Rhinolophus ferrumequinum: one gene and its partners. The protein of the gene in region 2 interacts with the protein of the main gene of each other region in a pairwise test. Links are inferred from orthologs where the notes say so. Each region holds a gene or a part of one and is shown on either strand. Other genes may lie near its edges. The genes, in order: EWSR1, ATXN3, DNM2 and ARHGAP19.

What was found.
Region 1: the proteins of ATXN3 (region 2) and EWSR1 interact in binary tests that used the Homo sapiens proteins (3 or more experiments, as listed by UniProt). The link is inferred for Rhinolophus ferrumequinum from reciprocal best matches to the Homo sapiens genes ATXN3 and EWSR1.
Region 3: the proteins of ATXN3 (region 2) and DNM2 interact in binary tests that used the Homo sapiens proteins (3 or more experiments, as listed by UniProt). The link is inferred for Rhinolophus ferrumequinum from reciprocal best matches to the Homo sapiens genes ATXN3 and DNM2.
Region 4: the proteins of ATXN3 (region 2) and ARHGAP19 interact in binary tests that used the Homo sapiens proteins (3 or more experiments, as listed by UniProt). The link is inferred for Rhinolophus ferrumequinum from reciprocal best matches to the Homo sapiens genes ATXN3 and ARHGAP19.

What each region holds. Positions count from the first base shown.
Region 1 is NC_046308.1:18,737,318-18,744,768, reverse strand, and holds the start of EWSR1 (RNA-binding protein EWS), read right to left. Parts: upstream 3,008-7,451; 5' UTR 2,888-3,007; coding exon 2,875-2,887; intron 1-2,874. Other genes in the region: RHBDD3 (rhomboid domain-containing protein 3), read left to right, coding at 5,445-5,592, 6,266-6,649. UniProt on the Homo sapiens protein: Binds to ssRNA containing the consensus sequence 5'-AGGUAA-3'. Might normally function as a transcriptional repressor. EWS-fusion-proteins (EFPS) may play a role in the tumorigenic process.
Region 2 is NC_046289.1:10,469,677-10,477,193, forward strand, and holds the start of ATXN3 (ataxin-3), read left to right. Parts: upstream 1-4,512; 5' UTR 4,513-4,556; coding exon 4,557-4,580; exon of another isoform or gene 4,581-4,653; intron 4,654-6,774; exon of another isoform or gene 6,775-6,825; intron 6,826-6,988; exon of another isoform or gene 6,989-7,129; intron 7,130-7,517. UniProt on the Homo sapiens protein: Deubiquitinating enzyme involved in protein homeostasis maintenance, transcription, cytoskeleton regulation, myogenesis and degradation of misfolded chaperone substrates.
Region 3 is NC_046301.1:39,642,735-39,649,999, reverse strand, and holds the start of DNM2 (dynamin-2), read left to right. Parts: upstream 1-4,262; 5' UTR 4,263-4,409; coding exon 4,410-4,570; intron 4,571-7,265. Other genes in the region: QTRT1 (queuine tRNA-ribosyltransferase catalytic subunit 1), read left to right, coding at 22-137, 842-980, 1,223-1,298, 1,410-1,519, 1,636-1,723, 1,810-1,962. UniProt on the Homo sapiens protein: Catalyzes the hydrolysis of GTP and utilizes this energy to mediate vesicle scission at plasma membrane during endocytosis and filament remodeling at many actin structures during organization of the actin cytoskeleton.
Region 4 is NC_046299.1:26,442,686-26,450,470, forward strand, and holds the start of ARHGAP19 (rho GTPase-activating protein 19), read left to right. Parts: upstream 1-4,781; 5' UTR 4,782-4,818; coding exon 4,819-4,874; intron 4,875-7,785. UniProt on the Homo sapiens protein: GTPase activator for the Rho-type GTPases by converting them to an inactive GDP-bound state.

The DNA of each region.
Region 1 (7,451 bases), on a different chromosome or scaffold from region 2:
GGTCCAGTGAGGTCTCTACAAGTAGTGAAAACAGAAAACAAAATGGTTAAGAAGTTCTCACAGCACTTCCGAATTAAATGTACGAGTATACATATATAAAGTTAATTATTTTAAAAAATTCTGTCCAATTCTTTGCTCTCCATAAGAATATACGTATCTGTCAGAAGACAATACCTCCATTAGGCCCAAACAAGTGTCCTTTCTATTCCAGTTAGAAAGTAGACCTTCCTCTGAAAGCAACAGTTTGACATCTCAGCTCTTTATGGAAGGGTTTCCACCCCCCCATCAAAGGCCTGCCTGAACTCATCTCTTGCAGTTGGCTCATCTTTCTACCCCTACACTTGACTCAACTTTCTTTCCTCTGTACACCCTTAGTTCAGAAACCTGAATCAACATTATTAAATCAACTGCCCAAAGGCTATGAATTGATTTGTTCAAAGACAACCTTATAGCATTTGAAAGTTAAACGTTAAGGCATTTTCAATGGCACTACAAACCATGCTCTTTATGTGGCAAATAAAAAGTAAATGAAAATCACTTATTCCATGTGGTATTCACAAAATACAACAAGGAAGCATTGAAAATTGATAGTTTAACCTACATTTCGAGGTTTCTGCTTGAGAAATGATTCTAAATCATGACATCTAAGTTCAATGTTTGCAAGAGCACTTTTATACAAGAACGGTTATGTAAAACATAAAACTGGCAAAGCTGATATAGAACAACCAATGTTCTCAATCAACATGAAACCAGATGCTTTAGCCCCACATTGGTGGGCTATGGAAGGTAGCCAATTTGTTTTAGGAGAACTTACGTTATCTACTCACAGCACACAATTATATGGCCTCAAAAATGCTCTTGTCACACACTAGTCAGATTATTTACCGATCACTGTTTTGCTTTTAACCCCCAAATGTGCAGTTGAAGACTTTACTGAAAATGGACAGACTGGGGGCGAGGGCTGTGATCTAGGTGGGCCTTTAGAGTGCTGGCAATATCTGCATGCAGTCACTCGGGGTGTGCATTTTAATTTGTTAAAATGGACATACCCTGCATTTTAGATACTTTTCTATATAGATGCAAGTGAGGAGGAAACACATTTAACACTACCCAAGATATGGGGGCTTTTAGATACTTTAGGGCAGTCACTATACAAACTGTGGAGATTTAGAACTTCAGACTACATAAAAAGTGAAAGTCAGTATGAGGCAATTTTGTGGGAGCCAAAAATGCTTTGCTGTAAGGTCAAAAGTTAAGGGCTTTGAAAGCTCTTAAAAGGTGTAGCAGCTCCTTTATTTTGAACGAAAGGAAACCAAAGTTCAGATAAGTTATGTGACTCCCCCAACATACCCCAGCTGGGTCACTTTCTACATAAACTGCAACTGTAATACTAATATAGTACATAGTACTCAGAGGTTAGCAGTAAACAGAGTCTGAGCAAAGCAGACAAAAAACTGGCATATCCAGCCACAAAAATTTTAACACATTTTGACTGCCCAAGCTTTAACAGGGAAGGGAGAAGAGGAAGGTGGAATGGGCTGAGGAAATCCCTTTCCACCAGGATGTCTTGGGCTGTGATATTTCAGAGTCCTTTCTTCTAGGGACACTCTGTACCCTGGCACCAACAACCAGCATTTACCTGCCTGCTTACTGACCACACAGTTGGAGAAGAGCTCCGTCTAACCTTTTCTCCTACAGCTTCTAAGGCCTAGACTTAGACCGCCTAAGAATAAGGCCCGGGGGAAAATGCCCCACCCTACCGATAACCTCAGGTTAGTGCGGGAACAGGCTGCCAAGTGCAGGTGATGTTTAGGCTACACTCTTAAATACTCCTCGCAGGAAGGCCCACCCTAGACACCACATTTCCAGCTCCCACTCCGCGCCTCCTTCCCTCTCTACCGGCTTAACCTAGGCAAGTGCAAGTGTGAGACGACTGCTTAAGCATAGTACAAATGCCGACCCGGGCCTTTTGTTTCTCTTAGGCCAGAAACTAGAGAGATTTCTTTCGGTAGGGATTTCTGGCCTCGCGATCCGGGCTGGTCTCATCATACAACGGATCTCTCGGCGTTTGATGAAAAATAACCCTGAGAAGCCACTTAATTGCTTTTTGGGGCGGGATTAATGATGGTGAAAACGAAGAAGCCGGAGGGAACAGCCGACTGGGGAGATTTTGAAGGGAGGGGGAGCACATCCCTTGTAAGCCCAGTCGGGCAGAAATTCGGCTTGGGGCTGGAACCCGCCGAAAGGGGCAGCTTAGGTGGCACCGGACGCCCCAGCAGACCAGGCCCTAAGCATGACGGGGCTCCTGCTCATAGGTCGGCGCCCCTCGGCTCACAAATCCACGATGGCTTTTTTTATTTGCTTTCTCCCCAAGCTTTTCGGTGAAATAGAGTCTCCTTCGGGTTTGGGCCGTCTCTCTGTAAATGGGGGTGGGGAAGTCGGAAGGGCAGCGGGCTCACGACTTCGGGAACCATCGTCCGGCCCCCCCCACCTCAGGTTTTGGGGTGCCCGGCTCGAAGCCGGACCGAGCGCCATCCCCGGCGGAGCTCTGAAGGCCGCAGGCCCCGCCCACGTGGCGGGAGGCCGGGCGCGCGGGGCCCGACGGCCGCCACACAATGGAGGCCACCGCAGGCCCCGCGCGCCCCTGCCGCCGCGAGCCCCCCGTACGGCGGGGGCGCTGGAAGGTTCCAGAGCCGGCCTACCCAGTGGGGGAGGGGACGGGAACGTGGGCCCTCGAGCTCGTCGGGCCGCGGCGGGTACCTCACACACTTCTCAGAAACTCCACTCAGTTGTCCCGGCCACCCCCAGAGACGAGCTGTCCCGATTTGGGAGTCCCGGCCATCGCCGGCGCGGCCGCATTTCCACCACACTCACCCGTGGACGCCATTTTCTCTCCTTCCTTCTCGTTCTCTCAACGTCCGTCTCCCTCTCGCTTTCCCTCTAGGCGCCGCACTGCGCAGGCGCGAAACCCGCAACCTCGGGCGCTACCATGGGGCCAGGCCACGGGGGTGTGGGAAAGAGGGATGAGCCACAGTTTTTCTCGTTCTCCCGACCTCTACTCTTTTCCTAATCCTCTCTAAAGAGCGCCGGACTTGACGCGCGGGTCCAAATAGCAGCGAAGGGGCTGAAGCGGCCGGTGAGCGGATCTTGATACGAAGGCGGAGTGATTCTTCGCACGAGGCTAAATTGTTGGATGGTTACGTCCGCTGGCTCTAGGGACTGTCTCTGAAGAGTCTGCCTTGAAGGGAAACGGAGGCCGGAGGGAGGATTGGGGGAAGGGATCTGGGCCTAGAACAACTGCTGACTAATCGGCGGGCCGCGGGGGAGGGGGTGGCGCGCCGGCTGGTCCGCCGGGGTCACGCGCCCGACCGCGAGCAGAATGGGTTTGGGGCGCTCGGGCCTTGGGGGGAAGGTTGAGTACCGACTCCCAGCCTGGGATCGTGCCCGGCCTTCCGCGGGCCGGGGCGCGCTCAGCAGTGAGTACCCCGGACACGTGGCCCAGGCCGGCGAGGGCGGGGGCTGAGGCAGGATGGGAGGCCCCGAACGTTGCGACCGGCCCCGAGAGCCCCCCAGTAACGGTCGAGGTTGAAAAGGCCCTTTAATCATTCTTCATCCAATACTCTTGTTTTTACAGAAGGGGAAACTGAGGTCCAAGGAATTTGGGTACTTTTCCTAAAGTCACAAAGCTGAGTCCGACCCGCACCCTGGGACCCCCACTCTCTCCATCACCCGGAAGAATCTTCCCCGTCCTTGCCTTCCCATTCTGTCCGCCGGTTTCCCAGTAAGGTAGGTAGGGTCTGATGGTTTATAGCCCCATTTTATAGATAAAGAGACTGAGGCCAGGGAGGTTCAAATCCCAATTCTGTTTGTCCATGGGCGAGTTCACCCTTGCTAAGGTACCTGAGGGCGGGGGACTGGAGAGGTGGAGGGGGGACTTGGTTGTGAGGGTGCAGGAGAAAGCCTAAAGTGGATTCCTTGTTTCCGGACAAGGGTGGCACTTGTCTCCCTTTCTACTCTCAACCCAATCTCACTCAAATCCCTCAGCGGGTCGTGGTGCCAAGCTAGTGTCTTTCTTTCAGTGAATACATATACAGCACCAGCAATATGTGGGGAGCAGCACCCTGAGGAACTTGGGGATGAGTGAGAGGAGCGAATCCCCCGACCCCCACTCCAGCTCAGATCACCTGCCAGGGAGAAAGGCTAAGCCGTGCTCATTAGATATGATAAGATTCATGATGTGGGGGCCCAGAGATGGAGATGGGGACATTTGAACTGGGCTTCAAGGGGTGCGAAAAGAGTTTGCCTGTTGAAGAGATGGAGGAAAGGACATTGCAGACAGAGGAGCTTTCTACATTTTTCCTGCAGGAAACTGGCAGGTGGGTTTTGATGCTGAGGGTGCCCTTGGCAAGGGAGCAGATGAGGCCACCTTGTCTCTGTGGGATTTTGCTTCCTGCCCTTTGAAATCAGTTCAGTGGGACTCCTGAGATAGACAGACCTGGCCAAGGCTGAGGGGATTCCAGCAGGGCCTGCAGGACAGGTGGGGTGTGAAGGGAGAGCACAGGGGAGAAAAAGCCTTGTCATGTGGGCAGGGAATGGGCACGATTGAAGGCCAGAGCTTGAACCACTGAGGCTGAAGCATCTGCCTCCCACAGTTTGCTGTGGGCTCGCCCTGCCTTAGTCCATTCCTTTTTCTCATCCTACACGGAAAGGCTTTTATTAATCCCCATTTTACAGAAGAGGAAGGAGAGGCTTAGAGGATGCAAAGCTTGCCCAGGGATACACAACAGGAAGAAGTGGATACTGGACCGGTCCTGTGAGAAGGGGAGGGGCTGTGCTCAGGGTTCTAAGGAAGGGGATGTCTCAGTCCAGTGTCACTTTGTATGCTCTCAGGGTGTGGGACTCCTGCTGCCCCCCCCCCAAGCTCTTCTGCCCCACTCCCTCCCTAATCTGCCTGCCCATTGGCTGGTCTCTCTCCCTTGGTCAAGGGCATCTGAGGCCATCCAGAGCTCTAAGCCTGGACACAGTAGAGGGGGTAGGGAGGAAGGTGGCTGGTCGCAGCCTGAGGAAAGCTGGAGATGGCTCTGAACTTGCCCCAGGGGTACCTCTTTGGGAGTCCAGGGCCCCAATTAACTTCCCTGGCCCTGTGCCTCCCACCCCTGGCTCCTCTTCAGGGCCCATGAGGGCTCTTTTGGCCTCGCCCCTCCATCCGCACACATAGGCAGGTGGACTGGCAAGATGGCTAAGCACATGGTTACGGTCCGAGTTCCTCTGGCCAAGTTGCTGAGACTGCCTCTCCAGCCTCAGTTCCTACTTCTGTAAAATGGAGCTCTTGGTAGGGTAGTTGAAAGAGTCAGACAAAAGCTGCAATAATAACTGTTGTTACTGTTTTCCTTTACCCCTAGCACGCAGCCTCAGGACCACCCTTGACCACCTTCAGCCAAGCTATGCGTGGCAGAGGCCCCCCTGCCCTCCTCTCCCCGGCGCTGCCTCTTGCTTCCTCAGTCCTGATGCTGCTCATGAGCAGCCTGTGGCTGGTGGGGGCCGGCCCCAGCCTCACCCTGGCCCCGGAGCTGCTGCTGGATCCCTGGCAGGGTGAGGGCTGGTCACATGGGCCTTGGAGGAAGCAAGAGACTTGCTTTAGGGCCTGAGACCAGTTGGCAGGAGCTGTGTGCCTCCTGCAGTGGTCAGGCAGGGATAGAACCAGTACCCTTGGGAAGGTCAGCCTTGGATGGGAGTACTCCTAGTTCGTCCACAGCCAGGGAGGGCGGAGGAGCCAGCGGAGGGGTGAGAGCCTGTGAATAGGAATTCTTTTCAGACAGCTTCCCTTTCTGAGGGCTTTCCTTGAAATAAGAACTAAGGCTTTCAGCTAAGCATGAGAATGGGGAGGAGGCGCTGAGGGTTCAGGAGTGACCCCAGCTGAGTACCTGTTCCCCAATAATAATAGCAGCTTCCATTTACATCTGAGGAACCCAAATGATGCTCACAGAGGTTAAGTGACTCATCCATAGTTGGTTACTCTTGAGAAGACCGAGTGGTAGGTCCACCTTGTTCTGCTTAATACGTCCTGGGAGCAGCTCCAGTGTTTGGAAACCCTTGGTTCCCTCCACGAGTGATTGCTGGCAGTGGGCAGACTTTGGCTCCTGGGGAGGGGAGGCTGGCTTCAGCGGGTGGCCCTGGCAGAGGGTAATTCCCAACCTGGCACACCTGGGACAGCCTTTGGGGTTGGGGCCACTAACCTGGCACATAAGCCCCTCTTCTCTCCCAGCACACCGGCTGCTGACCCATGCTCTAGGCCACACGGCCCTACCCAGCCTGCTCCTGAGTCTGCTGCTCCTGCCTGCACTGGGCTGGCAGCAAGAGTGCCACCTGGGCACCCTGCAGTTCCTGCATGCCTCCATGCTGCTCGCCCTGGCCGCCGGGCTAATGGCTGTGCTACTGGCAGGCCTCGGGGTGTCCGGTGCAGCTGGTGGCTGCGGATATATGCCTGTCCACCTGGCCATGCTGGCAGGGCAGGGTTACCGCCCACAACGGCCCCATGGGGCACTGCCACCATGGCTGTTGCCATGGCTGCTGCTCGCCCTGACACCCCTGCTCAGCTCTGAGCCACCCTTCCTGCAACTCTTTTGTGGCCTCCTTGCTGGCCTGGCCTGTATCCTTTGGCTGGGCTCTGGGCCTGTATGGACATGTGGGTTCTGAGGCTGGGCCCCCAAGGTGCCTGGAAAGGAGGTGGCATAAGGGGGTCAGACCCAACAATGCCGGGAAGCTGTGCACACGTAGACGTTCCAGGAGCATCTCCATGTTCTCCTCCAGCCAGGCTTCTGGGCTGTGGCCTGGGGGCTCGTGGCCACAGGTGGAGGTACCAATACCAATTTAAAGGGGAGCCTAGAGTGCTGAGGTGGCCCAAGGAGGCACCTAACCTGGACCTCCCTAGTAGAGGTGGCATCTAAGCTGATGCGTGCAGGATGAGGGGTTAAAATGTAGTGAAAAAGGAGAGGGCCAAGCAGAGGGCACAGAAAATACAAAGGCCAGGGGTGAGAATGAGCTGGGGTTCTCTGGGCGCCGAAAGGGAGAACCACCTATGGCTGGTGGTGCATGTGCATTAAACACAGGCTTTTGCTCCAGATGCTGAATGCCTGTTGGGGAAAACTGCAATCTGAGAGAACAGCGGGCACAGGCAGACCCCTGTAGTTATTTAGGATCGGGGACACCAGCTGCTGAGGCCTGGCTGAATCCCAGTATGGGGAGCAAGTTTCCCTGGCTCAGGGCAATAGGGGATGTGTTATTGAGCCCAAAGCTGCGCCTTGAGTCACAGACCTGAGCAGGTAGGTAGGGCTCTGGAAACAGTGGGTACGGGGTGGCTGAAACTGGATGATACAGCTTTTGGGGTGAGGCACATTGGCTGCTCCTCTCACTGGCTGAGTAGCTTCAGGCAGGTCCCTTTTCCTCTCCGA
Region 2 (7,517 bases):
ACTTTAGCACACTTTAAAATAGATTTGAGGGTGAAAAGATGCTGAACAGCAGCAGTCACTAGGGAAATACAAATTAAAAACAGACACCACCACTACACACCTACTTATTAAAATGCTTAAAATTAGAGACTGGTCTTACCAAGTGTTGGCAAGAATGTAGAGCTACTGGAACTCCCACTCACTTGCTGGCAGGAATGGAAGACGTAGCTGCCAGGAGGAGTTGTACCAATTTGTAAATCAGTTTAGCAGTTTCAAGTTAAACACAACTACCATATGACCCAGCCATTCCACTCTGAGATACCACCCAAGAGAAATGATAGCATACGTTCACACAGACACTTTTGTGAATGTTCATAGCAGCTTTATTTCTAATAGCCAAAAATTAGAGATAACCACAATGTCCATCCAAAAATGAATGGATAAATGTGATAAATCCATGTAATTGAGTACTACTCAGCAATAAAAAGAAATCTATTGATACAATGGATGAATTTCAGATTAATTATACTGAATGAAAGAAGAGACAAAAAGAACACACTGTGATTCCATTTATATAAAATGTAAGAAACTGCAAGCTAGTAACAGTCATTGCCTGGGGAACCAGGGTGCAGAAAGGTAGGAGGGAAGAATTACAAAGGGGCATGTGGAAACTTGGGTATAGTATGTTCATTTTCTTGATTGTGATGGTTTCATGCGTATATACATATGTCCTCTCATATTCGACTACCTCTCTTGGGAGACATTGTTTTAGGTGAGATTGAGTTCAGAAGTAAAATTACAATGAAATGATATTCCCTAAATTATCACTGATTCTTGTCAGAACTCAGGACCCAAGCCAACAGCCATTACAAGTTTTAAAATGTCAAACGTTTACAATTCTGTTAAACTATTTGATTTTGGGTAACAAAATTAATGTCAGTTTAAAAGGTATAGTGTTCAAGAAGCTAGAAATATATGCAATCTCACTTGTTAACATAAAATTTCAATGAAGTGGATTGAGAAAAGCTGATTGTCCGAGCGGACATAGAAAGTATGGAAGTGCAACTATTCCATCTACCCTGTCTCCAGGAAGTCTCCCGATTAGCTCAGTAACCTCTTCTACTGAATTATTGTAATACTTTTTTGTGCCAATCAGTCAGAAAGAATTCATGCATTTATTCACTGTTCTGTACCACCACTTTATATGAAGACTCCTCTGACCCTCAAAAGTTGAGTCTGGTAGTGTAGAAAGTAATCGCAGTATGATGTAATCAATGCTTCAATACAGGCCTGTGCAAGGTACTGTGGTGGCACAAAGGACTTTTCATCAGAGAACTTTCTGGAACTCAAGGGAAAGAGCTGGTGTGACTGGATCAGAGGGAATTCTGGGAGATAAAACCAGACAGGTGGTGGGTCCCGATCGTAGAACTTTTTAAGCCAGCAATGGGAAGGCACTGAAGGATTTTAAATAGAGTAAGATTTGTGTCATTATTTAAAGATCCCTCCCAATATAAGTTCCATGAAGATGGGACTGTTTGTCTCTTTCACGGTTGTAATCCAGTGCCTGATAACATAGTAGTACTCCATTTGTTCAACGAAAGGAAAACTGCTGAGATTTGTGTTTTTGAGAGATCACTGACAGCACTATGAATCGAACATACTAAGACTGGAATCAGAAGAATAACTCAGAGCTCCTCAAACACTACACGAAACCAAGGCAGCTTGAGCTAAGCAGTAATAATGAAAAAAGGGGAGAGAGAGGAGTGAATATATAGCATTTGAGGTCAAACTGGGACAAGGGGTGAGGTAGAAGAGGCGGGGGGAAAGAATGAAGAATGGTTCCCAGACGCTTGGCTTCACTAATTCATTTGAAAGGCATCATCAACTACTAGATATACGAAATCAAATAAGACATGAGCCCGGCCATCAAGACATTTATAGGGTAGTGGAGATGCATGATTAAACCAAGTATTATGATGCTGTGTAAAAGGCACTGTGTATGACTGAAGCACATACAGGGGCTCATAAGTAGGACAGGGACTTCTGGATTAGTTGGACAGGGACTTCTGGATTAGTTGGAGAGCAGGGAATGCTTTCTGGGGAGTATGGTCATTAGGTTTTGAAGGACGATATGTGTTGTCTTGCAAAGTGAAGTGCTGACTATCAAATGGAGTTATTAAAATAGGAAATGCAACAAAATCTAATACCCAAATCATACAGAAATTTGGTTTCAGAGATAAAGCCAAAACCAGAACCTGCATTCTGACTCCCAGGCATTGATCTTTTCACTTTATTCTTGCTATTAATCATGTGCTCAATAGGTCTAGAAGGCCTAATGAAATGACTAATATTAATTCAACATTACTAAATACTGTCAGGCTCTGTTCTAGGTGATAAGGATTTAACAGTGAACAAAACAGTAAGGCCCTCTGGCTAGCGTATATCCTAGTAAGCAATGAATTACTGTAGAAAGTTGAATCATGTTCCTCCAAAATTCAAGTCCACCCAGAACCAAAGACCTTATTTGGAAATAGGGTCTTTACCAATGTAATTAAAGAGCTCAACATGAAATCACCCTGGATTAAGGTGGGCTCTAAATCAAGTCACTGGTACCTTGTAAGAGGACGTGGAGAGACCCAAAAGGAAGAAGGCCATGTGAAGACACTGGCAGAGATTGGAGTTATGTGGCCACAAGTTAGTTAATGCCAGGAACCACCAGAGCTAGAAGAAGCAAGGAAGGATTCCCCCTAGAGATTTCAGAGCTGACACCTTGGATTCAGACATCTGGCATCAAGAATAGGGAGAGAATAAACTTCTGTTGTTTTAAGCCACCGAGTTGGTGGTAATTTGCTACAGCAGCCCTAGGAAATGAATACAATCACATAGTTTTTCTGAATAATACATTAATAATATAGCTCAAAAATCAAGAATAAAACTGTAGTGAAAAGTCTCCCTCCCACCCGTATCCTATTTAGCTAGTTCCTTTTTCATCTCAAACACATAACCTCTGGGATTCCTGTATATTCTTCCAGAGATGCTTGTATATAAATACATGTTTCTCTACATGGACACACACTCTCTTTAGGAAAAACATCAGAAAAACTGTTTTGCATATTTTTTCACTTCATGAGACCATGATGTGTTTCCCCAGTTAGGCGACAAGTCCTTAAGAACACAGACTATTTCCCCAATACAGGGGGCCTGCAGGACTGCAGACCACACAGAGACGTTCAATAAGTGGTCACCGAATCCTTCCTTGAGCACCTGGTCCTCACTCGCGGTCTCCATTTCCTTACCTCCTGGTGCCCCCTCTTACTCTGAACCTGCACTCTCCAAAGTCACCAGTGGTCTCCCTAGCAACAAAATTTAGTGGGCCCTTGTCCTTACGTTGCTCAACCTCTTCTTGGCAGCAAGTGACACTGGCTGCTCTATGACACATTTCCTTCCCAGGGCTTCCATGATATTACACTCTTCTGCTTTTCCTCCCTTTTCCTGGACTAGTCCTCCACTCTCAGGGCTGTGCTCCAGATATTCTTCTCACGCTCTTCCTTTTCCCCCTAGATGATTTTATGCACTCCTGTGGTTTTAGTTGCTTTTTCAATGTCAACAACTCCCAGTTCTACAGCCAAACCAACCTCCTGAACTCCAGACCAACATTCGTGTGTGTGTGTGTGTGTGTATGTGTGTAAAATCTCCACCCATTGCTCAACATGGTTACTTACCCTACTTTCAAGGTGCAACACCTGCTCCTGCTCTACTTCTTCAGCTTCCTCAAAGCCCTTTCCCCATTCTTTACTGGATCTTTCAGCTACGTGAATTGATGCTTTCTCTTCAGGGCCAGAACACATACACTAGTAACAAGGTGTCTGGATTTGGACCCCAACCCAAACTAGTAATTCACTAGTTGTTGACCTTGGACACTGTGCTGTTCTTAACCTCTCTGTGCCTCAGTTGCCTCATGAGTAAAATGGGATAATAACAACGCCTGCATCAAACGTTGCTGTATTAAATTCATTAACACATGCAAAGCTCTTAGAAGAGTGCCCACCCTACAGTAAGCCCTATATAAATATTAACTATCATTTTCACGTAAGTGCTAGGTATTGGGGGACGCAATGATACCTGTTTTTAATGAGGCAGAGGAGGAAGATACTAAATAATCATAATCAGATACAATAAGTAGAAAGTACAAAGTAAAGTGGAAAACAAAAAGAACATAGAACCCACGTGGCACTTACCCAAACCCCCACAAGCCGAAGAATCTACAGCAACGGGTGGGAAGTAGAGAAGATCCTCCAGACCTCCGGAGGCGCTGCAGGATCCTCCAGCAGCCCAGGCAACAGTCCACGAGAGGACGTGCTACAAAGGTCACGTGTCCCCGCGTTCACAGCCCCGGCGTTCACTCGCTCTTCGGTCCACGTGACTCTCATCCTCGGGGGTGATTGGTCCGCATGAGGAGAGTGTTTAGGGGCGGGTCGAAGCGGGGCGGGGCCGGGGGGGCGGAGGGGTGGGGCCGGGGGGGCGGAGCCGGAGGGGGCTGGCTCGGTGCGGGGGCCGTTGGCTCCAGACAAATAAACATGGAGTCCATCTTCCACGAGAAAGTGAGTGTCCGCATCCGGGGGGACCGGTGTGCGGCGCTGTGGCGGGAGTGGGGTGCGGTATCTCTACCTCCCGGTGAGCTGGGTGGGGCCCGAGTCACCCCCATCCCGATCTCCCCGGGCGGGCGGAGCTTCACCGGAGGGGAGCTTCATCGAGGCCCCCACCGCACCCCCCGCCCCTGAGGCCAGTGCCGACGGTCCCCGGGGAGCCCGGGGTCCGAGATGTCCGGGGAGCCGGGAGGGAGTGAGGGCAGGGCGGTGGGCGCCTCGGGGTACCGGAGAGGGGGTGGCACCGAGTGGGTTTGCTTCTGTGCTTCCCTTCCACTTTCCGTGGGATTCCTTCTCCAGTCCCTTCTTCCCTACTCTCGTAGGTTTTAGCTAGTCACCTCTCGGACACCTCCCTCGATCCTTCCCAACTCTCCCAATACTACCCCTGGCAGAATTATAATAACTTTTCCTTCTCTGGACTCAATTCTATTTTGGAATCTCTCATACACTTAGCTCCCTGGTGGTGTATTCATGTCCTTCTCGTGCACTAGGTTCGTGAGTCTCTCGAGTGCAGGGACGTTGGCTCAGCCCACGGAGGGCCTGACACTAAGGGACAAAGTAGGAAACCCCGTGCGCCCCTAAACAGGGAAGTCGTCATAAGTGTTTTTGTTAGGAAATGTTTGGTTTTCGTTTCTTTTGATAGTTCTATCTTTCCGGATCAGGAAGCCAGCTTTCTTATTGGATACTAGGGGTGAACTGGAATAATATTGCAGTGGTGCGCCTAGCTTGTTTTGTTTTGATTCTTCGATGACCACGTACTTGAAGATGCTGTTTGTGGCATGTGAAGAAACTCGTCTTTTCCCACGTAGAGTTATCAAGCCTTTTGGGTGTGAGTGAAATCTTCCTCAGGACAGCTATGGCACATATCTTGTTTCATAATAGTCTCGTTTGGAAAGGGTTGCTGGTGCGGCTCTTATTTAGTAGGAGCAAAGGGGTTTTCTTTTGTTAAATACTTCTAAATGATCATTTATTTAAAAAAAATTAACACACGACAATCAAATAAAGCAATCAAAGACCAGAGACACAGCATCAATCTAAACAGATTGTTAAATGGAATGCTTTTCTTTATAGAAAACATTTCAGAAAGTTTGGCACGTTCTAGAATGGACCAGTTTTTATGCGTGGGGAGGAAGAACTCCGATAGAGTTATTGCTAATCCTGACTTGATTGACCTAATTTAGGAAACTTGGACAAGAGAAATTTAGTTGCTTGTCAAGGAGATTGCATGAAGAGAACCCTTGCATGTATGTATTTTTATTACTAAGTTTCAGAAGCTTTGGTGTAGGACCAAATGTTTCCACATGGAAAACTTCCAACATTTTCCACACCATTTCTTGAGACCTACACAATATATATATTTTAACAATATTGGTTGTTACCTCTTTTGGATACATTTCAATAAAGGTAACTACCAAACCATGGGATCAAAAGAAACTGGGGGATAGCCTAATGAAAATGCATTTATAAGAAAGAAATCAGTCTCAATTATTAGCATGTGTGTAGGCTTAAAGATACTTCAGGAGAACATTTACGCTTATTAATTTTTGTGTACTTAGCAAACGAAGGTTCTTCTCAAGTTCTTTGGGCATATTTCAAGAGTATGGAAAGCATCTGTAATCATAGGACCCATTGTTAATCTCATACACAGTCCATTATGAAAATACTTGACCTTAATGTGCATTTTTCCAGCATTCTTGCTTCTCCTCCTACAAAGGGCCCTGTAACCACTTCTCCTTGGAATATTGGTTTCCCCATTTTCAGAGTTGTTGCTTTCAGTTCCTTTTATTAAGTTACAATGTAATCTAAACAAGTTGTTTACTGACATATTCTCTAGCGCCTGGCACATAGTAGGTGCTCAATAAATATTTGAATGAATCAAATGAGTTCTTTGAGCATCTAAGATGTATATGGTGCTGTCTACCTAAATAATTTTTCTGTAAATATTTTAGGCTTTGCAGGTCATATATAGTCTCACATACTCTTGTTTATGTGTGTTTTCCCAACCATCTGTAAATATAAAAACCATTCTTAGCTGCTAGTGCAGGTTGAATTTGGCCCAAGGGCTTGAGTTTGCCAATCCCTAACTTAAACCCTAATATTAAATGGCCATTAACTGCTTTTTTGTTTTGTTTTTATGTTTTTAGTTCCGGTGCCTGCTTTCTCTCATTTTTGTTATCACATCTATTGCTGACTGCTCTTGGTGAGGTTATTGTACCATCTGAATTGGTACTTCTATGTGATATAAACTGGGAATGATGACTGAACTGGTTGGGGTTATATTTAAAATTAGTGAAAACACCTAAAAGATGCTGAGCATTGACTTTATGACATCTATTATGCCCTTTGTGATTGCCTGTTCTTAGCCGTCTTCAGGATACTTGAGGTTTAGTAATAACCAAATTCCACATCAGTGGCCTGAGGAAGTGGTACCTAATAGCACAGACTTGAAGCCTCTGCCTGGGTTTGGAGCCCAGCTCTGCCCTTTACTACCTGTATGATCCTGGGTAAGTTACTTCCTATCTCTGCTCCAGTTTCCTCTTCTGTGTGTGAGGATAATAAAGCGTTTTCCTCGGAGTTGAGTGCTTAGAATGTTACCTGGCACTTAGCGCTGTAGCAGAGCTGGCATTGTTGTTATTTGGATGCCTGTGTTTGCTGAATCTCCTCAAAAGGGATGGAACCTTATTATCACTCAGATGAGAGGCTCAAATAAGACATGAGCCCTGCCACAGCCACCCTTACTTAGGTTCATGCCCGGTTTCCGTTCTAGTCACTAGTGTCTCTGGGAATTTGAACTAGTTTCAAGTTGGTCCTAAAATCTTTGAGGGCAATGGGGGAATGATTTGGATGCTGTTCCCTTTTGTGGTTTTATAAAATATCTTGGGAAAGCTGGAG
Region 3 (7,265 bases), on a different chromosome or scaffold from region 2:
TGCTAATTGGTCCTTTTGCAGATCAATCCGCTGGCTGGACCGTTGCATTGCAGCCCATCGGCGGCCGGACAAGCAAAATCTCTTCGCCATCATCCAGGGTGGGCTAGATGCGGATCTCCGGGCCACCTGCCTGGAAGGTAGAGCCATGTGCTGGCAGGACCAGGGCTTGTCACATCGCTGGGGGCCCCACAAAGGCCTGACATGCGATGGTGCTCAGACAGTGGTTGTTAATGGGTGAAACGGCACTGCAAGCGGAAGGAACAGCTGAAGCAAAGGCCCAGAGGCAGAATGGAGTAGAATGTTTGCAGAATAATAGTAATTCCAATTGCCATCAATTTTGGGGTGTTTACCAGACACTATGCCAAGTTCTGATCATGGATCTGATTAAGTTCTGACCCACTGATTTTTCATAACCATCCTGTAAGGTGGGAGCTACCACGTTCCTGAGGTTACAGAAGGGAAAACTGAGGCATAGAGCTGTTGTCACTCACCCCAAGCCAGACAGCTCGGATATTGCAGAGCTAGGATTTCGGCCCAGGCCTTGAGCTCTAGACTCTACAGCATTAATTGGTACACTGAGGGCCTGGGGAACCATGGAGGGCTGTTGAGTAGGAGTGTGATAGGAACCAATGGGGAACCATAGAAAAGTCCCAGTAGGACAGGAAGCACAAGGCCCGTGAGGAGGCTGGAGTGGGTGCCCAGAGGAAGGGTGACAGGACTACAGCAAGGCTGTGGAGATGAAGGAGAGGCAGAGATGGGGACACAGAGGGGGAGGAAGAGGAAGAAGAGGAGCAGTGTTTCCTTTTGTCTGGCCACCCCTCACCTTGCCCTGTACCCGCAGAGATGACCAAGAGGAACGTGCCGGGCTTCGCCATCGGGGGCCTGAGTGGGGGTGAGAGCAAGGGCCAGTTCTGGAGGATGGTGGCGCTGAGCACTTCGAGGTTGCCTAAGGACAAGCCCCGATACCTGATGGGGGTTGGGTATGTCCAAAAGGGGGCAGAGAGCCCCCCTTTAGGAAGTGGATTTCTGGGCACCCCCTGCCCTGTGGTATGGGGGGAAAGACAGACCTGCCTGGGAGGGGACTAAGGACGACATGGACCTCTGCTGGGGGTGGTTCTGAGGGTCTCAGTCCAGGGGGAGTCTGAGGGTCGGGAGGAGGACCTGGGTGTGTGACCAGGGCTTGAGGTACTGTGCTCGTCTCCCCCCATGGCCCCACCCCCAGCTATGCCACTGATCTGGTGGTCTGCGTGGCTCTTGGATGCGACATGTTCGACTGCGTTTTCCCCACGCGGACAGCGGTGAGGCTCTGGGCGGTTGAGGCAGGAACCTGGGGGGAGTGCCAAAGTGGGTGTGGGGGACAGGGTGAAAACATGGTTGACCTGCCTTCCCTTCCCCCTCTCCTCCCCCAGCGCTTTGGCTCTGCCCTGGTGCCCACCGGCAACCTGCAGTTGAAGAAGAAGCATTTTCAGAAGGACTTCCGCCCCATAGACCCCGAGTGTTCCTGTCCCACCTGCCAGAAGTAGGAGAGGATGGGATCTGGGGCCGGGGCGGGGGGGGGGGGGGGGGGGGGGGGGGGGGGGGAGTTGTGGAGGAGGCAGGATGCTACACTGCTGAGCCCTGACCCCCTGTCCCCAGGCACAGCCGGGCCTTTCTGCACGCACTACTCCACAGCGACAACACCGCCGCCCTGCACCACCTCACTGTTCACAACATCGCCTACCAGGTGGGCCTGTGGCTTGGGTGGGCAAGGCAGGGGTGGGGGCGGGGTCTTCAGGGCAGGCGGCTGACACTGACACCTCCACCCCATAGTTGCGGCTGATGGGAGCGGTGCGCGCCAGCATCGTGGAGAAACGCTTTCCCGACTTCGTGCGGGACTTCATGGGCACCATGTATGGGGACCCCACCCTCTGTCCCACCTGGGCCACTGAAGCCCTGGCCTCTGTGGGAATCACTCTGAGCTGACCCGGCTTGGGGGCCAGGGGGAGGGGCTGGAAGATATTGAAGGATTTGGTTTTTTATTGTAACTCAGAGTGTGTCTGTGCCTTCTTGGGGCGGTGGCCTGTATTGGTCCCATTCCTGGTCTGAGTGTCATCACGTCTGATGTCCCTTGCTTCCCTTTGATAGTAACTAATAACCATAGTAACAGCTGGTATCTGGCAACCACTTGGCACAGCCCAGTATGAAGGAAGTGGCCCAGAGTGAGAGCTGCATTCCTTTGCCCATGGCTTAGGCCCCCCAGCCACTCTAGGGGTGGGCACTTGTCCTCCCACTTTTTACAGGTGAGCAAACAGGCCCAGGGAGGGGAAGTAGCTTGCCCAAGGTCACCATTGAGGAAGTAGCAGCCTGGCTCCAGAGCTCATGCCCTTAGCCTTGTCTCTCCCAACATGTGGCTTCATCTTGTTGTCAGAAAACACAGTGATAATGACAATAGGTGTGATCTAGCAAATGCTTACACGATGCCTGACCTTGTTCTAAATGGTTGTTATGTGTATTGTATTTTTGCAACTTTATGTTGCATGAATAGCTATGTTCCTCATTTTACAGATGAAGAAACAGGTTTATGGGAATCAAGTCACTTGGTCTTTATCACCCAGCAAATAAACAGGCCCAGGATGTAACCCAGATATGGCCAATTACAGAGTTGGTGCTTTTAGAAGATAAGGGTTTTTAAATTGAAAAAGTAATACGTAGGATCCACCATTCAAATAACATAAAAATGCAACTATTTTGATCAGTTTGTGTATTCTTCCAGAAATTTTCCATGTGTACATATTTTCATGAATGTTGGTATCCTTTACACACAGTTCTTTACCTTGCTTTTTTTCCCCCTTAGTATTTTTCAAATTGTTTACATGTCAGTACATGAGGAGTTCCTCATCTTATTTATAGCTGCTGCATAGTATTTATTTAACTAGCTCCATGGATGGGCAGTTAAGAGTGTTTCCAGGTTATTCTGCTATTCTAGTCAAGGCTGCAATGCCAAATCTTGTTGGTCTCCTTTTGCCCATCTCTCTGAGACCTGAAGTTTGGGTCTTGAAGCAGTCATATACTACAGGCCGCTTGAAGCAGTCATATACTATAGGCCGCTCTGCCATCCTCCTCTCCACAGTTTCTCCGAATCAGCCCATTTTCCCACCTCCATAGCTCCTGACTCCCTACTGGGCTCTTCTGCATTCTCCGACCTCCTCAGTTTCTCTCTGATCCATCTATGCCCAGGAGGATCAAATCACTTCTTAACGTGTCTTTTCATAGACAGAAGATCCGCTGAGTTTCAATGGGTACTCAAAAAGATCATGACGCGCCGAAGTTGGGGCCGGGGAACAACGTTGGATGCCTTAGTCTCATCTAGACTGGGTGTGAGCGGAAGGTAATCCGAGGAGAGGATACAGCATTCGCATAGGCGTGGAGGTGTGACTTTATATAGGAATGAGAGTGGGAGACGACAATACAGAGCTAGACTGCCTCTTCTTAGGATCCTTAGTATCGCTGAACTCCCACCTTCGAAGCGCCCTGGAACCCCGCGCAGAGAGGTGGTTTGCAAGCCCCGGGCCGAGATGTATTCTGGGACTTGTAGTTTTATTTAGAGCCTGGCAACTCAACAAGTGCTGATCACCACCGATTTCCACCAATAAGTGTCGCCCTTCAGAGGTTTCGATGGGCCTTACCCTCTGCTCCAGAAAACTTAATAGACATACAGAATACGAGTAAGAACGGGATATTGTTGATTGACAGGTACAGTTCTCAATCAGAGTTAAGATTCGGAGGTTAAAGTCCGCCCTCTTTCGGTTTGTTGGCTAATGGAATGGAGTGATATTTTTATAAACCAATGGGAAATTTTTAGAGAACTAGGTAGCGTCAAATGACAAACGCAGGTCTAAAGGATCGATCCCTAACATCATTGGCCAGCGTTGTTGACTGGAGGATCTTCTTGCCAATAAAACTGGCGGATTTTCATGCCTCCCTCTAGCAGGCGGAGCCAACATGCCTTTTCCCGAAACACCACCTACCAGCCTTGACATCTCGGTACCCGCCTCTATTGGCTTTCGCATAACAGCGACAGTTCTAACATCCAATGAGCCCGCGAGGCGGTCCCAATGGGGAAGGCTCACTCAGCCTTAAGTCCGTGCCTCACTTTCATTGGTTCGCGCTCACAAGTGGCAGCTTGGCCGGCCAATTGAGCGTGGCGCGCGGGCTTTGGGCGCAGCCCCGAGGCCCTGGCGGGAGGTCGCTCGGGTCGGGTGTCGCCTGAGAACCGGATGAAGTGGCGACCGTGAGGCCGAGCCGGACCGGGCGTCGCGCCGAGGCCCGGGCGGGCAGGGAGCAACGGCCGCGGACGCCGCGGGGCCGTGTCGTTGAGGGCCGGGGGCGGGCGGGGAGCGCTGGGCGCTCGGGCAGGGGCTGCCGGCGCCATGGGCAACCGCGGGATGGAAGAGCTGATCCCGCTGGTCAACAAGCTGCAGGATGCCTTTAGCTCCATCGGCCAGAGCTGCCACCTGGACCTTCCGCAGATCGCCGTGGTGGGCGGCCAGAGCGCCGGCAAGAGCTCGGTGCTGGAGAACTTCGTGGGCCGGTGAGCGAGCGCGGCGGCGACCGCGGGCGGGCGGCGGCCTAGGGCGCGGAGGGCGGACCGGGAATGGCGCGCCCTGCGCCGCCGGCGTAACTGCGGCGCTTGCGTGCCTGCGGTGGGGACCGGGACTGGGAGGCGGGTCCTGTTGGACGCCCTGAGTGTAGGGCTCCCTGCGAAGGCTGGGGAGTCGGCGCAGGCCCAAGGCGGGTCTAACCGGCTGGGGGTCGGGGGGTGGGCCAGGAGCTGCGGTGGACCGCTGCCGACTCTGGTCCCCACTTTTAGTGGGTGAATTCTACCATCTGGTTGCCTGTGGGTCAGGGATAGGTCTCTCTTCTCTGTCCAAAACCTAGATATGTTTTGGGCCGACCCCTGCGGTCTGGCTGGCTGTTCATTTATCTGGAGCAGTCCCTGCTGTCTGGTTAGCTGTGTCTCTGTCCTGGATAGGCCTGCCTGCTACCACCATTTGGTTGTCCATCTGTCCAGTTCTGCAGGGCAGCCCCCTGCTGTCTGGCTCGCTGTCCAGGATGACCTGTGTAGTCTGGCCGCCCATCCGTGCCCCTCAAAGACTTTAACACTTAGCCATCCTTCTGTTGGGTTACCCCAGTTGGCCTCTGCTATCTGACTGGCTGTCTGGACCTAGGGGAGCCTGTTGTCTGGACTCTTCAGACAACCCTGGAGCCTGGCCTCACTCTTCAGTTTGGTCTCTGGCAAACACTGGCTCCTCTCTTCCAAGTGGATCTTTTAGTTCCTCTCTCCTAGTGTCTGTCCTTCTAGTCTGCCCATCAGTGCCCTTAACAGCCCCTGTCTGGCCCACCCTCTGTGGTAGGGGGTGATAGGAATTTAGAGAAGAGAAGGGAGCTGAAGGATGAGACTTGAACTACTCCCTTGTCAGTTGGAATTAGGAGTTGGGGGCGAATTTTCTCCGGGATTCTTTCCTGGCCAATGACAGGGTGTTTCAGGACCCCGGAACACAGGGGCCAGACACCAAGCTAAAGCCTGCCAATTGGGGGCCCTCTTGGAGCCTGGGAAGGGACTTCTTGTCTGATCAGGCCTCCATCTTAAGAGCTGGGATAAGGTCTTCCCAGGGCAGCCCTGAGAAGCCTCAGTTTGCCCATCTGTTCAGTGGACAGATTTCACTCTCTGTGTTATTTCGGGGATTCAGGAAGCTAATATAGAGAAGCGGTCCTGTGGCCAATGAGGTCGGTTGATTCTCCCCTCTCCCTTCTTCTGCCTCTTGCCCTTCTGCTTCCCAGATGGGCGGCCACGTTTCTATTCTGGGAAGGACTCCATTTGTGACTGGCTGTCAAATGATAATGTCATAGTCATTGTCATGATTACTGTTCCTGTTATCAGTGTGAAGGAGTAATGTTAATCCACTAGGCAACCAGGCTGAGTTCTTTCTTGGTTCAGAGTCTTGAGTTCCTTGATGAGCAAGTAGGGTGGAGGTTGTTATCCCCACCTTAGAGATGAGCAGGGAGGCTCAGAAAGGCCCGGCCATTTGCCCAAGGCCACCAGCCTGGTGCTCACTTGGAGCCCAGCTGAACATGCGGCCCCGTCTCTGCTTTCCCGGAGGCCTGGGGTTTTGTTCCCAGTGGCATGAATTTCCTCCTTTGCTGCTTTGTCTCCTGGCACTTTGCCCTCTGTCCACTGTGACAGAAAGTGTGGGTTTGGGGTCAGCTCAGCCTGGGTTGTGGGCCTCTCTGCATGGCCGTCTTCCTGCCTGCCCAGGCTTCTGGTGGGCATCTGCAAAGCTTTGTCCGTTTTAGTTGCCTTTGACTTTGCACAGGTTTTTGACCTCTTTGAGCCTTGTTTCCCCCTCCTAAAAATGGGGTGATGGTCCCTCAAGACTGTTGCAGGGATGCAGTGACATAGTATGTTGAAAGTGCTTATTTAGCATAGTACCTGGCACACAGTAGGTCTATATGGCCATTATTCACTGTGCTGGTTCCTCTCATATTGACAACAAAAGCTAATCAAAGTTAAAGTGGTCTCAAGTTTCACACTGGACTTCATTTAAGCCTTATGAGGGTGGTACTGCTATGATCCCATTTCACAGACCAGGAAGCTGAGGCTTAGAGAGCTGAGCACTTTTATTTGAGGCTGTTAAGTGAGGAATTGGGGGCTTTGAGGGGGAGAGTCTTTCTCCTCTCTCCACCTTTCTTCTGTCCCTCTGCCCCTTGCCTTTCTCTCCCATCCACGCTGGCGTCTGGTGACTGCCAGCTCCTACTGAGCTGGCTTCTGTAGCAACCTCCTCCCCTAAACCCGCAATGCGACATCCTTCATTAAGAGCATTAATTTGGGGCCTGAGAACCAAAGTTGTCAAAAGGCCTCTCTTTGGGTAGGTGTGTTCTGACAGAACTAATTTCTTTTTATTTCTGGAATGTGGGGAAGGCCCCTCAGCTACAAAGCCCTGATCCAAGGGGATGGCAGATGGACTTCACTTTGAATTGCACTCCCTACTTCTTTCTGGGCATTTGGTCAAACTGTTGTTTTGTTCTTCTCATCGTGGACCAGTACAGTGGATGTCCCACTGATTTCGAGGAACAGACAAGAGAGGGTCCAAGGTATGTGCCTGGGGGTCAGCACACGTTGCTCCATTTCAGTGCCTCCTCCTTGTGGATTTTCTAAGAATGTGGTTGGAGTGGGAATGACCCAGTTAACTTAGCCCTGTATGGGGGTTGCATATCAGTGGCCCCCG
Region 4 (7,785 bases), on a different chromosome or scaffold from region 2:
TGTGGCAAACAGCATGGCCGCCCTGCCCCTCCAGTTACAGCCTGAGCTTTCTGAAGGTAGGAGTCAGGGCTCATTCAACTCTATAGCCCCAGTGCGGAGCTCAGTGCCTGATAGATGGTGAATCCCACACACAGATGCCCTGACTGCATGTGCTTCCGGTCCCTCTCTCTGCCAGCCTGTTGCTGGTGACCTGGCTGGGGAAGATGACCCCCAGGGTTTTTACCTTGGGGGTTCCAGCCCAGAACTCGTTCATTGCTAGCTGCCCAGAATTGGTTCCTTGACCTCACTGAGTTCCCTCCGTCACCCTCTAACGCCCTGTAGCCAAGCTTGGAGAGGATTCCACAGCAAAACGGAAAACGGTTTTCTTTTCTCAGCAAACGGAATAATGTAGATGTTAATCTTTGATGTGTCTGAAGGAGACTGAATGGTTTGCCCCGAATAAACAGGTGCCCCAGGAAGCAAAAACAAAACAAACAAACAAAACCAGGAATGATTTGTAGCACACATCTGTCTTTTAATATTTTTCCCCTTTTGGAGGTAATTTCTCACTTTGGCGGGACACAGGGCTTTCCTTCCGCAGAAGGGTGAAGATAAGCTACCTAAACTCAGCCAATCAGATGTTCTCACCCATGACTGCCTCTCCAGGGATTGACAGAAGACTGTGGGACAGACGGGAAATCAGCAGAGGGGTGACTCTGCTGAGAATCAAGTGGCACTGATTAGTGTGACCTTGGCTGGGATTCGGAGTCCCTAACTCCATCCCTTCCATCAGTTCTCCAACCTAGTATCCTTCCAACAAATCCAGTTTCTGTTAGGTTAGCCAAAGTAAGTTTCTGGTGCTTGCAACACAGGCTGACATAAACCTAAATGTGCAATTGGTGGGGACAATTTAAATAAACCGGAACATCTCTAATGTGGGATACTACACAGCAGTTTAAAAGAGCGAGAGCAATCTATATATGTACTGACATGGAAAGATCTCTAAGATGCACATATAAAGACCATATTTACAGCATATCAATATTTATCTAAAAATAAAACAAAATAATGTATTTCTCTCTATGTGTGTGTTACCTTGAGAATGAAATACTATAAGACAGGGACTTTGTTTTGTTCACACCTGGTATCTCCGGGCCTAGAACAGTGCATGGCACATGGTAGACATTCAATAAGTATTTGTTGAATAAATGTACTGTGTAGAAAATGATCTGGAAGATCGCATATCAAACTGAAAATAGTGGCTTCTTAGAGGAGGGACTAGAATGTAGGGGCGGTAGATGAGGGAGATTTTACCTGTATGTATTTGAAAAATTTTTTTTACAAGAAAAATGTCTTCATGCGTTACTTGTATAATTAAACAATATAAAAAGAGCTAAATATTAACAGGTGATGAGAAAGCCATTAAAATGATGATTCCCAGGCAGCCAGATGGCTCCATTGGGTAGAGCGCAAGTTCTGAACAACAGGGTTGCTGGTTCAATTCCCACATGGGCCAGTGAGCTGCGCCCTCCACAAGTAGATTGAAGACAACGAGCTGCCACTGAGCTTCTGGACGGGGCAGCCAGATGGCTCAGTTGGTTAGAGCCCGAGCTCTTAACAATAAGGTTTCCTGGTTCAATTCCCACATGGGATGGTGGGCTGTGCCCCCTGCAACTAAATATTGAAAACGACAACGGGACTTGGAGCTGAGCTGCGCCCTGCACTAACGACTTGGAGCTGATGGGCCCTGGCGAAACACGCTGTTCCCCAATAATTCTTTAAAAGAATAAAAAAATAAAATGATGATTCCCAAGACTTTATCATAACAAATAACAAGTTAGGTGGCAAAGAAAGGGGAAAGGAATGGATTATTGCAGGTGTGCAAGTGATATTTTGGTGGGGGTATTGGCCATTTTGACAAGAGAATGAACCGTTAACTTTTTAGTCTTTTTTTTAATGGTCAATAGGCACCCTCACCCCATCCCTAATTAGTCTCAATAGAGATGCAAAACTCAGAAATATTCATTACACTCATGAGCACACTTTTATATTTTCACGTGGGCATCAAAATGTCCTGCTTTAATTTAAGCAGAGGGAACAGCAAGAACAAAAGTGGAAAACAAAGATTCATCCGAGGACTGCCAGTCACTTGCATTGAAGTGCATTGAAGGTAGAGGTGGGGGTGTGGAAAGCATGATGTTGGGGTGGGGGCCATGGACAGATCATCCTTCTCGTTCTTTCTCTTCCATCTTCTACTTCTTCTTCTCTCTCAACTTTCTCCTTTCCTTTTACCCCCTCCATTGAGACTAGGGCCTGGAAATACAAAGATGATTAGAACACTACTTCTTTCCCCCAAACTTGAGGTCTGTTGGGGTAGGTGGATGGATTTGCATGACCTTTGTGGCAGACTCAAGTCCATGCCACTGCTCTTAAGCCGTCCCTGAGAGCCCTGGCCTCCAGCCCTTCTCCACCCTTCTGAATTCTGAGGAGTCTCTTCTCTACTTTGATAGCCCTCTGTAATTCTAAACTGTATGTGATTTATGTGTGTTCATTATGTCTCCCAGAGTCTATTATAAACTCCTTGAGGACTGGAGCCACTTTTCTGTGACCTTCTGTTCAGCCAGGCTGATAGAAACAAGATGACTTTCTGAACTTTCATGAATTCCTTCTATATAGCCATGCTTATCAGCCAGCTGACAAAATAGTACCTAGATGGACTAAAGATGATTTCAGGGGAGCTGTGACACCTTGCAGAAACAGAGTGTGCAGGTTTGTCAGCTTTGAGGGGTGGGGGTCCTTTTATAGCACTCAGCAATGATACTTGCTTTTAATCAGAAGTCACAGGGGAACAGTTGGTTTTGAGGAGAAACACTCCCCTCTCCAGAGTAAATGATGCAACTGTAACTTCAAGTGTAATGTATGGTCTTTATCACACAGCAATGGAGATAGAAGTGATATCTGAGAAGGGAGTTAAGCATTCTTGATATTCATCATATCACCTTGAATATTTATTTATCTAGTCCTGGTATGTGCCAGACACTGTGTTGCTAAGCAGCTTTTCAGATATTATCGCATTTAATCTTCACACTACCCTTCTGACAATTATTATCCTCATTTTACAGAAGAGGAAATGGATTCAGAAAGTAAAGCAACTTGCCTGGAATCACAGAGCTGAAGTGATAGAGCCAGGATTTGAACCTAGGTTCACTAACTCCAGAGCTCATGCTTTTAACTAGTGTGTTGTATTTCCCCAAATATTAAGGGCTTTGTATAAAAATGTCATCAAACCAGAGGAACCAGAAATATAGTTGTGTGGTGTTTCTCTGAGTTGTGGTAATAAAAATTTTGAACATTTCTTTTGTGTGAAAGAATCAATTTCATTCAGTCAATCAATGTGCTGAGTGTCAGGGGGCCAGAAAAAAGAACCTTGTTCATACATGTTTGTTGAATTTCATATATTTGCTGGATAAAAACAATTTGTTAAACATAAAACTAAATGCAATTTTATTTGACACTTTTATCAAACTTAATATGAATTCTCATAGATTGAAATAATCTATTAGAACATGTGATTCAATTTTTGACTTGGATAATATAGTCTGAGGACTTCTTTATTAATTTGTTCAAACGATATTGAAAGGCCACTATGTGCAAGATGCCATGGCAAAATAGACATAGTCTGTGCCCACTTGTGTCAGGAAGTCTAGTTTTGAACCTTCACATGAAACAAATGGTCACACAAACAACTATATAATTATGAATTGTGATAAGAGCTGTAGAGTACAGAGTGTTGTGTGCAAGTTTAATAGGGGAACTGATTTGTATAGTGGGCCATTGAAGGCATCTGAACCAGTGACATTTAAGCTGAGATATGAAAGATAATAAAGTGAGAAATGGGCCAGCCAGAACAAGCAACACCTGCGCAGGCTCTGAGGCAGGGAAGAATTTGTTGAGAAACTGAAACATATGTGGGTAGAGCTTAGTGAAAGAGAAGGAGAGAGCTGGGAGAACCTCAGGTAAAAGGAAGTCAGAAGGAACAACAGAAGAAATATTCCTAGAAAAATCCATAGATAAAAGCATAGAAAAAGAATACAGAAAAAAATTAATGCTTTATGTTTACAATGTGTTCATATCTGTTGCTTTAGTTAATCTTCACCAGAAGCCTGTCAGGCAGGGAAGACAAGTGTAATTATTATTTCTACCATTGAGGATTAAAGCTCAGCCAGGGAGAGTTATGCAGGTTTTGGTTCCATGATTCAGAACAGAGAGGCAAACTCGGTGGGTTCTCTGGGATGCCGGAAGGGAGCGGGTGGAATGAAGCATAAGTAACCTATCGCTGTGCTGTGTGACCATCTGAAAAAAGCAGGCTGTGAACTAAATTCAATAGTAAGTACTTCTTTGTTGCCACTCTGTACCTAGCCTTCTAGGTATCTCACTGTGTCAAGACAGAAAACGAAATCTTGCATTTAAGAGAGTGACTTTTAAAGTCACTTTCAAATTCGAGTTTTGTAATTCTGAGCTTTACATGTCAGGTCAAAATTTGAGCGTAAACTGCGGGTATTTGATTTGAACCTAAAAGTCAGGGTAATCCGAAGGGTTAATCAAAACGAGAAACTACAACTCCCGGAAGGCCCCAACCCCTTTCTATCCCGCTAGGGCAGGGGCTGACCAATGACGGTTAGTTGTTTGAATAAACCAATAATATCATGAAACTGTTTTGGTTGAGAAGGGGCGGTCAAGTTATCCAATCGTATGGAAGAGGGGAGAAACACCTTAGCCAATCCAAAGGCGTGGGGGTGGGGCCTGAGGTGGTTCAGTGAAAGAAGTTTGCCGACTGTGATGGCGACTGAGGCTCAGAGTGAAGGGGAGGTGCCAGCCGGCGAATCCAGGAGGAGGTGAGCCGAGTTCTTGGTCCAGCTGCCTAGGAAACCAGCCTGTGGGCTGGTCGTACTGACGCCTTTCCCTTGGGTCATGGTGACCAAACGGGCCCGGGCTTTGTGCCTTCCACCCACGGTGTTTCGCACCCTGGTGCCTGTTGAGGCTGAGGCGCGGTGGTCCCGCCCAGCGTTGGGCTTTAATCAGCCCCCGCTTTGTCCTGCAGATGTCCGTGGGAGGTCCGCCCGCGGTGTTGGCTGCAAACTGACCAGTTGGTGGTGTCAGGACTGCCTGCCTTTGCGCTGAGACTCATCTTGATGGTGAGGCAACTCAAGCCCAGAGCTGTTAATCGAATTCCCCAGCGTCACACAGCGCTGGGAGAGAACGCTGTCAGTACCTTTTAATCTACTCTGAGTCAGATTATGTACTTTAAGTCAGAGTAAGGATTTGAGTGTCAGTTAAAAAAGGGTTTGAGTCCTTGGGCCAATTTTTAAAAAAAATTTATTGTGGCAAGAACATTTACCCTCTTGGCAAAATTTTAAGTGTCCAATACAGTATTGCTGACTATAGGTAAAATGATGTGCAGCATATTTTAAGAGCTTATTCTTCCTGAAACGTTATGCCTGTTAATTAGTAATTCCCCATTTCCCCTACCCCCAGGGCCTGGGAACCACCATTCCACTCTAATTCCATGAATTTCACTATTTTAGATACTTTATGTAAGTGGTATCATGCAGTATTTGTCTTTCTGTAACTGGCTTATTTCACTTAACCTGATGTCCTCAAGGTTCATCCATGTTGTCACATATTGCAGAATTTTCTTTTTAAAAGCTGAGTAATATTCCATTCTATGTATATACCATATTTTGCTTATCCGTTCATCTGTCCATGAACGTTTAGGTCTTTCCACATCTTGGCTGTTGTTAATTGTGCCTCAATGAACATGGGAGTGCTAATATCTCTTTGAGATCCTGATTTCAATACTTTTGGGTAAATACCCAGAAGTGGGATTGCTGGATCATATGGTGTTCTATTTTCAATTTTTGAGGAAACTCCATACTATTTTCCATAGCAGCTGCACCATTTTGTTTTCCCACCAACAGTGTACAAAAGTTCCAATTTCTCCATATCCTCACCAACACTTGTCTTTTTTTTTTTTTAAATAATTGTCATCCTGACAGATATGAAGTGATATCTCATTGTAATCAGGAATACGGACGGCATGGATGCCCAATCTTGCCACTTCTGTTCAGCATAGTACTGGAAGTCCTAGCCAGAGCAATTAGGCAAGAAAAATCAGAAGGCATCTAAATCGGAAAGGAATAAGTAAAATTGTCCCTGTTTGCAGACATGATCTTATATATATATAAAGTCCTAAAAATGCTAACAAAAAGACTGTTAGAACTAATAAACAAATTTGTAAAGTTGCAGGATGCAAATCAACATACAAAAATCAGTTACATTTCTATACACAGTGAACTATCTGAAGAGGAAATTAGGAAAACAATTCCATTTATAAGAGCACCAAAAAGAATAGTATACTTAGGCCAATTTTTAAACCTCTCTCAGCTTCAGATTTTCCATCTGTAAATGGATGTAATGATGTCTAGTCCACAAAATGCCAGGATTAAACTAGACAATTCTATTAAAGCTCTTAGGACTGAGCCTTGCAGATAATAACCACTTAATACTTGGTAGATTTTCTTTTTCCTAGAACAACTGAAGAACAGACAAGAGGGATCTGCAGTTTAGGAAATCATCATTTCTACAGTGTTCTCTCCTAAGCAAGCACACTGAAACTTAGCATTTCTGAGAAAGAATTTCCAGCTGGTCTTGCTCCAGCCGTGAGATCTTAGTTGTCTTAATTGATTACACATACAGACGGTGCCATAAAAATATATACACAAATTAAGAAAAGAAAATACTGTGTTAAAATTGTAATACAATGAATAACGCTAGCATTCATTTGATTAACGCCATCTTTTGAGCAAATGTCATACTACACATTGCTGCCATAATTCAATTCAACCTTGAAAAGTAATACATGAATAACATCTCTTAAAATGTGTACATATTTTGGGCAGCCAGATGGCTCAGTTGGTTAGAGTGCGAGCTCTGAACAACAGGGTTGCCGGTTGGATTCCCACATGGGCCAGTGAGCTGCACCCTCCACAACTAGATTGAAGGACAACTTGGAGCTGAGGGGCCCTGGAGAAACACACTGTTCCCCAATATTCCCCAATTAAAAAAAAAAGTGTACATTTTGTTGGCACCTCTGGTATGTTAGAATTCAGTAGAATGAGCTTATTTTCATTGCCTCAGTATAAATCAGTAAAACACTTTAGTTTGATATCTCTTGGTGCCATTTATACTGAATAGGAGTTTCCAAGTCTCGTGAAGCTGGGTAATGAGCTCGCACTGAGCTCCTTCCCTGGTTGAGACGGGCGTGGTTTAATGTGTTGTTTAATATTTTATAGGAAGAGTTTTCCATTCTTGGAGCTGCCTATAAATCGTTGCCGGGAAACTGTAGAGGGGATTAATAAATTTGATTAGATCATTCCTTATCCTCCTGTAAAACCTTGAATTGTGATGAAGACAAAATACTATTCTGTAGCAGAAGTAGTTTGGATTCCTTTAGAGGATGTTGCCAACTGAATGTAAATTTTGTAATGGTATTAATTACATGATCAACAGGTATTCACAGCATCTTATCTGAACCTGAAACTTATCAACTCCATGTTGTAAAAGAGAAGTTGGGTTTCTGTAAGGCTTTTTGAGGGCAGGACATGTGAAGATTTTTATTACATATTCCCAACTTAGCTTTGCTTTGTTTAGGTGGTCAATAATGAATGAATAAGAGTCTCTGTCATTTCTAAGATATAAAATATTACTTTGTGGTGATAAATACCATACAAATATATTTTTTGCCCT